Linked DNA regions of Styela clava. The protein of the gene in region 1 interacts with the protein of each later gene in a biochemical or structural test. Links are inferred from orthologs where the notes say so. Each region holds a gene or a part of one and is shown in the gene's direction. Other genes may lie near its edges.

What was found.
Region 2: of the proteins of E3 SUMO-protein ligase PIAS2-like (region 1) and aurora kinase C-like, one has a biochemical effect on the other in vitro, tested with the Caenorhabditis elegans proteins (2 studies listed by BioGRID). The link is inferred for Styela clava from reciprocal best matches to the Caenorhabditis elegans genes gei-17 and air-2.

Annotation. Positions count from the first base shown.
Region 1 is NC_135261.1:9,102,637-9,110,350, reverse strand, and holds the start of E3 SUMO-protein ligase PIAS2-like, read left to right. Parts: upstream 1-4,652; 5' UTR 4,653-4,662; intron 4,663-7,622; coding exon of another isoform or gene 7,623-7,714. Other genes in the region: cGMP-dependent protein kinase 1-like, read right to left, coding at 22-189, 1,144-1,272, 1,583-1,684, 2,376-2,480, 7,623-7,714. UniProt on the Caenorhabditis elegans protein: Functions as an E3-type smo-1 ligase. Mediates smo-1 conjugation to air-2 in vitro and is required for proper chromosome alignment.
Region 2 is NC_135254.1:24,608,156-24,615,367, forward strand, and holds the start of aurora kinase C-like, read left to right. Parts: upstream 1-4,175; 5' UTR 4,176-4,312; coding exon 4,313-4,339; intron 4,340-5,829; coding exon 5,830-5,912; intron 5,913-6,842; coding exon 6,843-6,951; intron 6,952-7,212. UniProt on the Caenorhabditis elegans protein: Serine/threonine-protein kinase component of the chromosomal passenger complex (CPC), a complex that acts as a key regulator of chromosome segregation and cytokinesis.

The DNA of each region.
Region 1 (7,714 bases):
CTACTAACAGGTTAAATTTACCTGTGTTACATCACATGTTCCGATCTGAATTATATAAAATCGGTCTCCGTACATTCCTTCCTTTATTATTACTTTATTTTGAGGAAACGCCTCATACTGCATGTAATCGACCATTTCCTGCTTTTGTCTTTCATCAGAACGTTTCAGAAGATCATTAGATGCGATTGCCTGAAATAGAGAAACAAATATATTACAAAAGAGCAGACTAAAGTAATTTAATGCTGTATGAAAAACAGTCAAGGTCAGCAGCATCTGGGTTATCCAATCCAACAAAATTTGACAAATCAACAAAATTTATATGCTTTTTTATACCTGTTTTTAGAACATTATCTGTTTTAATTAAAAAATATTACTCTTTTATTTTTTAAAGTACTTGCACCTGCGAGTGGTAGAATGAGGCAATCTGATATGTAAATTGACTACATTTGTCTTTCCACAATTCTCTCCGCAAAGATAATGAATAACGATGGAAATATTGATTAGACACAAAAATGAATAAATCAATTTGTATCAAATTACTTATCGGTGAATTGAAAGTAAGTCGAAGCAATTTGGATGAGATTGATATTTATTGTATTGAATTAAAATGACATTGTTTGAATAACTGCATTTCTATTTGACTTTTGTTTTAATATTTTTCTATTACGAAATTGAGCACTCACGAGAGAACGATGCTTAAATATATGGACACGAAAGTCAAATGACTAATATGGCCACTGCAATCTCATAAAATGTTCGACCAACGGCTCCAAGAATTGTACCTAATGTCATATTAAATAGCACGGAAGGATGAGGCCGTGATATATGAAAACCAGCGAAATGAGAGTAAAAGGCCAGGCCCCGTAGGACTGAAACGGCTAATCTTCTGGCATTTTCCTCCATCTTCAGTTCAAAATCTGTAGGTCCATTGGTTGCCGAGACGACACGAAAACAGTTTTGCAATACGATTCATTGATCCAATTTTTGTTCAGAAAAGGGCGCATTGACTGAATTGTCTAGTCTATTTTCTCTACGTGACGAGGTTGAATTTTATCACATTAACAAAATAGCAGCAAGTCTAAAAATTAGACTGGAAATCGAAAGAATTGAATAAACCATTATATAAGGTATCAAAATACTTACATCCAATAAAAACTTTCTGTCATTCAGATTTTTTTCAACTTTTACAGCTTTCACGTTATCATTTTTCACCGTGTTTCCTCCAACACCGGGACGATGACGCCTTTGAGGTCGTTTTTCTACAGGCGGCATCTAAGAGAAACGAATAAAATTGGTTATTGACAATCTTTAATCATTATTTTAAGTTTCCCGTAGTCATGGTTTCGTAAGGCTTGATCTCGAGACATTTATGGCATGTTAATGCAAATGAATGAACAAAATTTATCAGTGTATTAATTTAAAACAGCTGTAATTTAAACAAATTTGAATAAAAAATAAAACAATTTCCAACATGAGTTTGTGATATGAAAATTTATAAGGACAATGACTTTAGGTAAACCGGGCATTGAGATTGTATTCAAAGTAGTAATCTAACCTAACCAGATAAGAAGAGTCAACTTACAACATCTATAAAAGTTCCCTCCATTTGTTTGATTTTCTTGTCTTTTTCTTGCAATTTTTCTCCCCATTCTTTCTCTTTTCGTTGGAAATTTTTATCGTTTATCTAGAAACATAAGAAAAATATAAATTTCTCCGAATGCTAACGCGCTAACGCGAGTTTATTTCGGCACTGAAGTTCACAGCAGTGCAAATTATTGCATGTAATTTGCGCCGTGTCGTCGTAAATGTATTTGTGTCTTCACGGCAGAAAGAGTAAAGCAAAGCCAAGAGTTATGTATTGTCATTCGATTTTTTATAATTATATAAATGATTTATATCATTACATGTATAGCATTGAAACATTTAGTTATTAGTTTCAACTCCAAGAGTATGTGCACCAAGATGGCGCACAACCTGAACATAGTATGTGTATACCAGGTTAGGGTTCAGGTTGTGAACCATCTTCGGGAGCGCCCAAATATGTACTGTTACGGTAGCAGACTCAATGTAGTCCGATATTGTTTTGTATTTAGCGATAGTTGTAAATATATGATAAATTATTTGATGATAAACGATTACGTATTCCAATGATGTTCGTATTTAAAGATTTTAAAATTAAATCATATATATGTATTGAAATTTGAAACAACTTAAATTATTTTTGAATTAAGCCTCAAAATTAATTATTGATTTTACCAATGAATAGTTACGATAAATAAAACATAAAATTAATTAAAAATAATCATTAGGTTCAAAAATCAATTAGAGGGAATTAAACAGCACACTGATTCGCATTTCACTCAGTGAAATCATACGTCAAGTTTCTCTTCCAGAGCTTTTACGCTGTTATTCAACTCTAATATCTCATCATCTTTTGAACTCAAATTCGTTTTGAGCTCACTTTCTGATTCCGATTTTTCCTGAATAAAATTTAATTTGTGAATATTTTCTGCCGTGGCTTAAAATTACAATAAGTTCATAAGTAAAAAGCAGTGTTTGGTGTTTGTTTGACGAATGCTTAGTAACGCAAAATGTTAACCTTATATCCGAAGATCGCTCCGAAAGCAGTGTTTATTTTTACGATAAGGATGTTTAAGTTAGTCATGTAGTCGGAATTATTTATCAGCTCCAATGCATCAATTCTGCGCAGCTGTATTCTGCGGGACCAAACAAAATCAACTTATGATTTAAATTGTCCCAGATTAGGTATGACATTGTATAATATTTTAATTAACCCGTCGTTGTGATGGTGAGAGAGCGCATGCGATGCTAGTTCGATACAAATTCCCGCGTAGTTCATTCGAGGTTTCTTCTATATATATGCGTGATTACGGTGGCGTAGTGGCTGACATTAACTAGTCAGCAAAATTTCGAATGTGACGCAACAATTGAACTTTTAGCAGCCGTTCAAACAACTTTTAGCCGTTCAAACACCCAGAGGGATTTTTGAGCATGACAGAAACGTTAGATTGATTTTCTGACGTTTCAGTTTAGTTACAGAATCAACAGTTATTCTCTAAAAAGCCGAGATAGACTATCCTAAAATTAGCTACCGGTACTTTTAATAGCAGGTAAGCAGATACGTTGAATCAAAATGATGGTTATGAACATGTGAACTAGTTTGTACATTTCAAACCACGAAAACATTGCTGTAATAAACATCAAACTTTTTGCGGATCTTTTGTAGAAAGCCCCCGACACTAATGCAAAATTGTGGGATTTGGGAAAACGACACCGCTATGTTTTTAAATAACAAATTAGTAATTATCTAGTTGAGGTTCAAAATGATTTGACAATTTCCAACGCAATCTGCAACTCAAACACTAATCGGATTTTTACAAATTTTCTTGTTTTGAGCGTTTGGCGCGGGTGTTGTACGAAAGATCCCATTTTGCAATGGTTAACTGTAGAAAAATTTCTGGGGTCAAGGCTCGGGCCAACATCTGTTTACTTCGAATATTTGCCAAGTTTATTCACTCATATTTTAAACTTATTCTACGAATGTAATTCATTTCAGTCAACTAATATTGACTGCAATCAATCATCAGTCTTAAGGCCTTGTTGGAAGTTCAAACAAGAATAAGGTCTCTCATGACGATGCTATTTTGTTAAATATTTATTCAGCAAACCAACGCCCAAAATTAGCCGAATTTTGCAAACAAATATATGAGAAATCGATAGATTTGGGTATTAATCAAATACTACAATTTATTACCAACAAATATTAAGAAAATGGTGCTCATTTTTAGAGAGAAAATTGTAATGGTAACATTTTATGCGTGTATAAATAATTATATATAGTGTTGATTAGCCTATATTGTTGTGAGCATGTCCCATTGCCGGTTATGTCAAGCATAGTGCTAACGATCTGTGATCTATGTAATGTACAGGGCATATAAGAACCAACATATGGCAATATTTAATCTGACATTAAAATTTGTGCACTAAAGAAGACTGATATAAATAAAATCAGTATAAAGTGGTTTTATCCTAATTATAACGAGTTGTGTTGAATTTAGCCAAAGCCAATAAATCCTCTTTTGCTAGCGAAAGAATTTATTGTATGCTGGATCTATGTAATTTTATTGACAAAATGTCTCAGACAATTACTCAAACCACTGCAAATTTCAACACAAAGATATACGGTAGTGAACGCGCTGCATCAACGTATTATATAGGCTCTGATGCAAGATAAACCAAATCTATAAGGTCAAGTAAATTCCAGGTCCGTGAAGGATTACAACTGACAAGGTTCTCAAAATACAACAATCAACGGTGTTATGCGACGTATTGGCGAGGCCAAGATTTTTGTTCTGTACGGCACCCATTTTCGTTGATGTAGTAATTACTAAGATGTACCGATATCAGGGATGGCCAATACCGAATAGTTCACTATTTCGAATACATTCGAAATTATTATTTTCGAATATGAAATTTCGAATACTTCGAAAGTAAAATCCAGTAATAGAATCTAAGTGTATGAAGGAATTTTCATACAATAAACAATGGAATAACTTCTATCTACAACCTGGCTATATTACCAGGCATTTCATGTTTGCAGATTATTGCGATATATATTTTATATAACATGAGTTGTATTAATTAACAGAATTAAAATAATACGACAAGGCATTTTAAATAGTGGTATCGGTGATGGATTTGAATGCTTGCGCAACACAAAATCATCCTAGTAAAACGCCCATACTTTTAAATACCAACCATTATCCAAATTATTTGTCAAAAAGCGGGATAAAGTATGAGTTCATTTTCAGACTTGTGACAATTTTTTTGTGAGTACAAAAATACGGATCAAAAAGTAAATATATTCGGGAACTTTACCACACATTTTAAGTCCGCAGATCGCCGTTGTATGTTTGTGTAATAATACTTTTATTATTTTATAAATACGAAAATAGGGTTCAAAAATTATTTATAATCGGGTAGTTTACCACACGTTCAATGTCCACAGATCACCGTTGTATTTTGTAAATACGAAAATAGGAATCAAAAATTAATATCAATCGCGAGTTTGCCTCACAATTTATGTCCACAGAATGCCGTGATATTGTGCCCGGATATAATTAATTTTTGATTCTTATTTTCGTACTCGAAAAAATTGTCACAAGTAGGAAAAATAATTTATACTTTATTACACATTCAAGTCCACAAATCGCCGTTGTATTTTTGAGTTATAATAGTTTTAATATTTTGTAAATACGAATCCGAAAATAATTATAATTGGGCAGTTCACCACACATTTCATGCCCACAAATACCCGTGGTATTTGGTATTAATACTTTCATTATCGATACTTTTGACCATCATTATCAAAATTATTTTCCAGAAAGCGGGTGAAAGTATTTTTCTAATAAATCAACTTGTTTCCCAACTTGTGACAATTTATTGGATATCGTAACAATTACGGCTATAAATACCGTATTTCCCGGCTAATAAGCCTACATGGCAAATAGGACGATGTATATTTTTAGCACTCAAAAAAGGGGGTTTCCCATATAGGCCGCCAAGAAGACGGGTAGAAAAATTATTCCCTGTTGTTCAGTTATGCTAATATGCGCTAATAATAATGTTTAGAACCAGATCACGTTTGTTTAGTAGAATCATACTCACAGAATTAACTATTTTTAACAATAAAGCGGTAATTTTAAGTTAAAAATCACAATCATTTTGAACAATCTATAATTTTATAGGGTCAGAACAGAACCAGATCATGTTTGTTTGGTAGAACCATACTCACGGAATTAACTATTCTCAACAACGAAGCGGTAAATTTAAATTATAAAGCGGCAATCATTTTGGACAACCTATCAACCCGAATGTTGAAATAATTTTGGAATGTGATAAGTACCACACGGTACGTCCACGGGTTATTTCACAGCTGTGTTTCATGTCCCTGTCGTTTTCTGCTGAATCGGCAAAACCAAAGGGTCATAAATCACTTACTTTATCTCGGTGGCGGTGGCCGTGTTTTCTCTTTTAAGTAACGATAACCGGCCTACGATTAAATATCATGATTGGCACACCCATAAGAACCAAATATAAGGTTTAACACAAATTATGCTTGAGAAGACTAATGCGAAAAATAAGCAGGCCACATAGAAATAAAATAAACATGCTTTCTCAATAAGGCGCCCCTCCCCCCAAAAAATCAAGCCAAAATTGGGTCTAGAAAAGCGACTTATTAGCCGGGAAATACGGTGATTGTCGATTTTTCGACTAATGGAAATGATTTTGTGAATTAAAAGACGAATGTCGGCAATGTCCACCAACGCAAACGTGCAAATGTGTCGCAACACTATGCGACGTACATTCGCGCTGAATATAAACAATCAAAATGCCGACTCATCGTCATGTAATACGTGAGAAAGCGTAAAAAGTCGTTTGAAGATTCCGGTAAAACGAAACACCGTGTTTACGGCGAAAAGTGACTACTATTCGTAATTATTCGGAAATGAGCCGAAAAGGTATTCGAATACCTTGATATTCGAATAATTTCGAATATTCGATTCGTTTTGGACAACCCTGACCGATATCACTATAAAAGTTGTCTGCGAACTATGTCTACAGTGAACAGTATTTCAGATTGAATAACCAACGGTTTATTAAAATACGTGAAGTAATCACATCGTTGACTGCTTTATATCATGGAAATTTGGATCCCAACACTTTCCTTAAATCTATACGACTGAATAAAATAACTAGATAATTATTCCTCTACCTGACATGTACTGATAATCGGACGAGAGGTTGTAGTACGCCCATGGTTAAGCCGTCTTATCGACTTTTCTCCCATAGGAATCACAAAGTAAACTATCTTATGGTAGTTTATGTAGATGTTTCGATGTTGGCGCGAGGAATGAAGAGTCACGCAACGGGAAAATTCACCATGATGTCTGATAGATATTTTGTCATGTTTACCATTTATTATTGAAAATGTAAACAAAAAACTTTGCCAGCGAAGATAGTCAAATAAGTTGAGATGAAATGGTTCATGAATAGCTAAAAACAGGTAAAATCTGCATAACCTATCAAATTGTCAAATTGAAAGTATAAATGATAATAACTTGATTTCAAAACAGTAAGAAGTTTAAATTGTAATAAAACGTCATGGTACCAAAAAACGAACGCCCTAATACCTGTTTCTACTCGCTATGATGTGAGCAATAGACTCGGAGGCAAAAGATGCCGCGGACATGATCCGTTATCGACATACGTATACTAACTTATCTGCTTGAAACATTCTAAATCAGATTAAAGTGCTAAATATATCGGCCTATTTTAACCGATACTGATATCGAAAAATTACCGATACATAGGGACATTTCTATAGTGAGTACTCGTAGTGGGTACGGCCTTCAACTTTTCTATATATATATATATTATGCTCGACCCCATCTGACTACGTCATCGAAAATTACGTCACAAACGATATAACAAGGTCAAACAGAACTAACTTTAAAAAAATTTATTCCCTATCTTGTGTTTTTATAATATTCAAGCACTGAAAATTAAACGTGAATTTTTCTTAAGCTTTTGTCACTTACTCGAAATTCTTGTTGAAGTGCAGTAAGATTTTTATTTAGTTCTGCACATTTTTCTTGCATTGATTCCAGTTCAACTTGTTTCTGATTCAGTT
Region 2 (7,212 bases), on another chromosome or scaffold:
AATTAAAGAGATTTAAATCTGAACGAAGTTAGGCCGACCACTAAAGTGCTACAGAGACTAAAATGAATTGGATCCTCGCGATATACTGTATGCCGCGGGCCTGGGTGTCAGCGGAGATCCTGGACGCCTACCGGCTTGTTTATTATTATTATCAATGTATTTATGTTTTTTCTGGTTGACAAATAATAAATCTCTCTCTCTCTCATTCTATGCATGCCGTCCATTTGGATTTTTATAAATAAAAATCATTGCAGTATACAATATTAATAAATACTATTTCATCCTATCTATAATTCAATAACAATGTCATCCCAGACGACCCTATACATATGAATAAAAAATAAATTATTAGTTAATACAATAGTTATAATAATATAATTACAATTATCTCAAACTTTTGGTGTTACGGAGCCGTTGAAGTAGTTGATTATTATTCACGGAGCCCACAATAAATTAAAAAAAAAAAAAAAACATTGTTACTTGACGATTAATGTTTATGGGTAAGTTGAAATTACTTTATATACCCAATTCAAAAGCTAAACCTTTTATAATATATATATATGATAAATAAAAGCCATAAATGATGCTAAATTTAATATATATATATATATATATATATATTGAGATGTGCTGGCTTGTCTAGTAGGCAAAATAAGCACGTGCTTAGGGAGCAAAGGAAAATGGGGCACCACAGAAATTTTGGACCTCTGAAGTATGCGCACCAAGATGGCGCACAATCTGAACTCAGGTTGTGTACCAGGCTAGGGTTCAAGTTATGCGACATCTTGGTGCGCATACTTCAGGAGGTCCAAAATTTTATTATACAAACCCCAATGCATGCACTTATAATACAATGGAAGATTAATTGACCATAGCCTTCACATTGATTAGCTGAAATTTCATCTGAATCACGGGAAATATGACGCGTGGCCACGACGTAGTATCAGAATGAATAGAAAGGTGCGCATAGCACGCGCAATTTACTACATTTCATCTTTAGTGCCTGGGGTAGCATGTTTCACATGTCGTGGGGCTCTTTAGACAAAATTTACGTTTTTTTTTTTCATTTTTTAGTGTGTATGATATCGTTTCAATCTATAAAAGGGCTAACGCATCGCCAATTTTGATCTGAGATGTTTTATAAATTAAGAAAAGTTAACCAAGATACGAGGGGCTAGTTAGCACAAGAGACAAAAAGATTAAATTAGTATTCCTCCACTGACAGTCAGAAATTTGATTTGCACATTCACTAGTTTGAATTATCTTAGCATTTTCCTTAAAAACTAAACTAAAATGAACAACAGTATTAAAACGGGATATTCACGCATTCAACAGTTAAAGCAGCGCACACGATAGTCCCAGATGAACGCTTTCGATTGAGGTATGAATACACATGCTTCGAATCAATGTAATTTGGGAGCTCCCGAATTATGTGCACCAAGATGGCGCACAACCTTAACATAGTATGTGTACCAGGTTGGGGTTCAGGTTGTGCGCCATCAGTTCTGTAGGCGATTAGACTCGTCATAGGCTGTCAAGTGTGACGTCGTTAATTAAGTAAGATTTTAATCCACCCTATCCTCGACAGTAGCGATAGCTCAGGGGAAGCGTTGGGACATGATCAAACATTAGGATCGTGGTTCGAACCCCACATGGTGGAGTGAGTTGTAGGGGTGGACCATCAGACAAGGCACACAGTCGAGGGGAAAAGAGGCAGGCGAGAGCAGCAGCCAAGGAGAGCAGAGATGAAAAGGAAATAAATAGGAGCCAGCATGGGAGTCAGCGAAAATCGATCGGCGGGATGGCCAAGCGATAAGGTTTAAAGGTGGAGTAAAAATGGAGACAAGAGAGAGTCATCCAGGCGTAAGATATCAAGACCAGAGCAGTTGAGGGAGTAAAGGGTCAGGCAAGAGCAGCAGCCAAGGAGAGCAGAGATGAAAAGGAAAATAAATGGGAGCCAGCATGGGAGTGAGCGGTGAAGTTGAGGCCGAAAGATATCAAGGAGAGCAGAGATGAAAAGAAAAATAAATAAGAGCCCGGTGAGCGAAAATCGATCAGCGGGGTGGCCAAGCGATTAGGGTGGAGTAAAAATGAAGACAAGGGCGAGCAAAAAAGTTCAGAGGGAGCAGCAAAGGAGGGCCAAGCGATTAGGGTGGAGTTAAAAATGAAGACAAGGGCGAGCAAAAGTTCAGAGGGAGCAGCCAAGGGAGAGCAGAGATGAAAAGGAAATAAATAGCGTGTGAGTGAGCAAAAATCGAAAAAGGCGAAGAGTGAAAATCCCACCCAGGACACGTATCCTTCAGGTTAGCGACCCGATAAAAAGCGAAAAGAAAATCCCCACCCAGGACACGTATTCAAAAAGCCCCCCCCCCCCCCCCCCAAATCGCAGTCAAGATTTCAGGGCGACCCGATAAAAAAAGGCGAAGAGTGAAAATCCCACCCAGGACACGTATCCATCCATTCAGGTTAGCGACCCGATAAAAAGCGAAAAGTGAACCCAGGGCACGTATTCAAAAAGCCCCCCCCCCCCCCCCCCCCCCAAATCGCAGTCAAGATTTCAGGGCGGAAGATAGAACGACAACAATTACGAATATAAAAAAGCCCACAGAGTACGGAAAACATTCAGAACTGGGGGTGGTAGGCGCAATAAAAATCAGCTGGGGGAAAATTGAAAACACTGGAAAAGCACTGAAAATAGAAACTAACGAGAGAGGTATTTTAGCCTGCAACTGTTTTGTTGCTTAGGGCCTATAAAAAACATAATCCGGCCCTGATATTAAGGCTTTACTTTTTTGTTCTCGTGCGAAATTGTGAGTTCAGTGTGAAAAACAAGTTAGTATATTATAATTATCGACGACGAGATGATAAAAATAAATAATAAAGAGGTGGATCCGCAACCCAAATTTCTTGATTGAAAAGTGGCATTATAAAATATTAAAACTAAAACCTAAAACGGAACGGACATAAGTTTTGTTCTAGCAAACTCGAGGCAGTTTTGATAAGTAATGATTTTATATAATCGTAAGTCGACTCAACCACAGTTACATCCAACACAATTAAACCAAGGAACAATGATCGGTCATGAACTGCTCAATTATAAATTGTACTCATTGAGATTTTACGCCGACCCTGGGATTTTCGGAAAGGCGATATTTTGCTTAAAAATAATCTTGAGGGCTGAAAAAACAACACAAATTCAACGAATCAAAATATCGCGAAAATATGATTTCAGTCTATTTAAGTCGTCAGTTTAGCACGTGTTTGATGTCATTTGAGAATAATAATATTTCATTTCATTTATCGTAACAGTAATCTCAACTCAAAAGGCGGGTAACAATAAACACATATAAATAAATTTGACAAGACAATATAAATATTCGATTCCAAATTTTAAACCGGCTCTCTATTTAAAAATCCTGGCTGCGCTGCTGCTTATAGATAATGTCATATATAATTGAATTGCCGCAATATTGCCAAATTTTGATGCCACAGTTGTGAAATTTCATTAATGTTGTTGTTGCTTCTTTGGACAGTTACAAAATTAGCCTCCACACGGAGCACTTTGAGAACCTATGCTTTATAAAATTACTGCATCTATATATATAGAAACGGGCAGCCAATAATACACAGTTGACAAATTGCAAATTAGGAATATCATCAAACCCTATGAAACATACTTTTATACTGAGACAAAAATTCATATCCTCTGTTTTAAAAACTATCCATTGGTCTACCTCAGACCAAAATTGACTTGTTATGGGACAATAATAAAACAAATGTAATAAAGTTTCAATAGTATGCTTACAAAATTTACACATATTAGTATCTACTAGTCCAAAGCCGTGTAATGTATAGTTTAGAACTATATATTTTAAAAAGTTTAATTTGGAAAGACCTTAATTTTTGTTTCAATAGTTGATAAAAAGGAAATTTTGAAGTAGCTGTCCCACTTCACATTGGAAATATTAAATGATTCTTCCCAAAATGATTTATACATACTTGGGGGAACAAACCTTTTCAGTATTATTTTCCTATAAGCACTTTTACACAAGTAGTCTTCAGTGGTGGTTGTGAGAAATGCTATAAAATCAAAAATGTCATTGGTTTTGCAATCCATTCGTGTGCGACGAGAATCGCGCCTCAAGTGTGCAGATGTGATTGGCAGAGCATTTCTCGTCACACAATTCAAATTATTGTGCGCTTTTTCTTGCAGGAACTGGTCCGGTCGTTTTACTGTATTATCGTTGCATTTTATGTTTGACGTAACTTTATCCATCGTCTTTAACGCTGATTTAAGTAGAATTCGTTACAAATGAACGGACCGAAGTCACATCTTTCGGTAAGCATAAATTATCTTGTTTATGTTTGGTTCTGTGGTGTGGTTTACTTAGTCTTTACCCTGTTACCCGCGGATGTCAGGATGTGGTGAAGGAAGTGTTCTAACGTTTAAACCAGAGGTCGGCAACCTACGGCCCGCGGAGTGATATATTCCGGCCTGCGACGCTTCGCTGAATTCTGGAATTATAGTAACAAAATAGGGGTCTAGTATAGTTTAATACCACAAGTAGGCTACTTCCAGTCGGCGTAGCATACCGGTAACGATTTTTGCATATGTTATTCCTAACCCCCATATGACTATGCCATTCAAAAATCACGTCACTACGACGTCGCCATCACGTCATACTGTCATAGGGATTGCCAAAGTATAATTACGATCGCCCGAAATGGCATCTGCGCCGCCGATAACGAACTTGCCAAAGCCGGCGATCTCGCGACGAGAAAACGAGGAAAATAGCTTGCTTGATTTCGGGTGATCGTCTGCACGTTTTGAATGACCATTCGCATACTTCGGTGGGTCTTATCACGCCACTGTGACGTCAGAATGACGTAATTTTTTGGTGACGTAGTCACGTTCAGGGGTTAGAATTGACATATGCAAAAATTGTTGAGCCAGGCCAACTATAAGTGGATGTGGTACTAAACTATACCAGACCCCAAAATAGCTGTTTTGACATTAATATTCACTAAGTAACTGAATTTATTGAGAGACATGTGTAGACTAAATTATAAATTTAACAAGTATAAAATTCACAATTCCTCGTTTGATGAACATAACATTTAATTATAATTAGACAAATGGCAGGAAAACTCAGAAAAGTTCATACTAAGTTTAATGACGCCACAAATATTCAAATGGATGATTCAATTTTATGAGATGCAATGCAGTGAGGAAATAAATGTAGCCTATATTCTATTCGAAAGATGTATCACTGCTTGTTTTTTATTATAAAAAATATCATCCGTTCGTTTTTCAACTTTCTGAAAATATGTGCGGCCCGCCAATGACTTACTGACTTACGACCCTTTTTTAGGCCCGCGAGCGACAAAAAGTTGCCGACAACTGGTTTGGGTTTAGACGTTAGTCCACCACATCATGCACCCAACTCTGTCAACTTTTGGTTGGGCAATTTGACTCCAACTATATTCAGCTTGGCGATATCTTTTTATTAACATTAAATGTTTTTCTTTATTGTTCACTCTGGTTTATAAATCAATATAAGTGACTTTTTTCTGTATTTTGCTTGTGTTATACTCTGATTATACGGATATAGTCTACACTGCTACAGGCGAAACTGGGATCTGTTTGTTGCTGTGTTGTACAGTTGTAACGTTCAGAAGAAGAAGAAAATACAAATTACGACATTAGCTTATAACACAAAAACTGAGGGCGCTTGCTGTGCCCCCCTGATATTCCTGCGCGGACCCCAATTTGAGAGCGACTGTTGTATATTAATCTGATAATTGCACTTATTTTATTTCTGTATTTAGCCAAGCTGCATGAGACCTCCGCTACGACCAGTAAATTCCGCAGCTCCAGAAAGAAGAAGTGTCCGTAATGTCCAACAAAAGAAGTAGGTCGTTAAAAGCATAGATACTAGTCACAGGACATTTGTTTACTGCTGTCTCATGTGTTCTGTGAGACCATGTGTAGGTACCTGTAGCGTTTCAGTTGATTTCCAATTTGTTTTCTTAGATTTCATCTGGCTTCTGTGAATTCCTAGCTAGCTGGTCAATGGGGTTTCATGATATGAAATAACCAACCCTATACCTTGTTTCCTACTAAGAAGTAAGAAATCCACCCAAAATGGCAGCTGAATGAAACAGTCAAGATATTTCGAAAATAGATTAAAATATTGGGTTTGTGTCACTGGCAATTTGCTCTAACTTGCGCATTAAAATACGGAAGCTAAAAGTTAAATGCAGTGATTTATTGGTATTTCCTAATTTTCTGAAGTCACTTGGTCCTGTATTTTATTTATGTTTGAAGCTTTTTGGTTCATAGTTGGAATGTAACTTATGTAAACTAGACTATATATCAAAGAACATGAAATTGTGGAAACATTATATAACCAATCAACTTTCCTATAATTGATTAAATTCTGTGCAAAACAGGAGTTTATTTATCAGGGATTGCCAGACTAGATGTTTATATATTCACTCCATTACCAAACCTTTAATAATATCTCAAACATGTTCTGTTGTGACCGTTGGGATTTTACATTACCATTGGGAACCATACATGCGATTTATAAACCAGTACAATATTGAGCTTCATTGATAATAGGTGAAGTTTCATTGCTCTGAAATTTCAAATATTTATTTGATAAATTTTATTGTATCAATGACTACACTTTCTTCCACCTCGTAATTGGAACCTCAGTGATTTGACTGTATAAGTAGTTACCATGATATTTTCATGGCAATATTTATCATATATTTATAAGGGCATTGCAAAATATAATCCATTCCTTTTAGTAAACCACACTTGTATTAATTTTCAGGCATTGGTCTTTGGATAACTTTGATATTGGTAAACCTCTTGGCAAGGGCAAGTTTGGAAATGTATATCTGGCAAGGGAAAAGGAGAGCAAATTCGTTGTGGCATTAAAGGTTGGTATTTGCAAATATGGTTGAGAGATCACCTCAATTTAGTTAACATATGCCAGTCCCAGATTTTGGAAATTTTTTAAAATTGTTATGATTCAATCAGGGCTGGAGCTGAGAAATTTATCTGGAGCCGCAGCTGTAGCCAAGATTACCATGTTAGATAGAGCCGCAGCAACAGAAATTTTAGTGACTCCGGGCGTCTCCGGCTCCTAACTGGGGTGAAATATGTTTCGCATTGAATATTTTCAACGGATAATGAATATT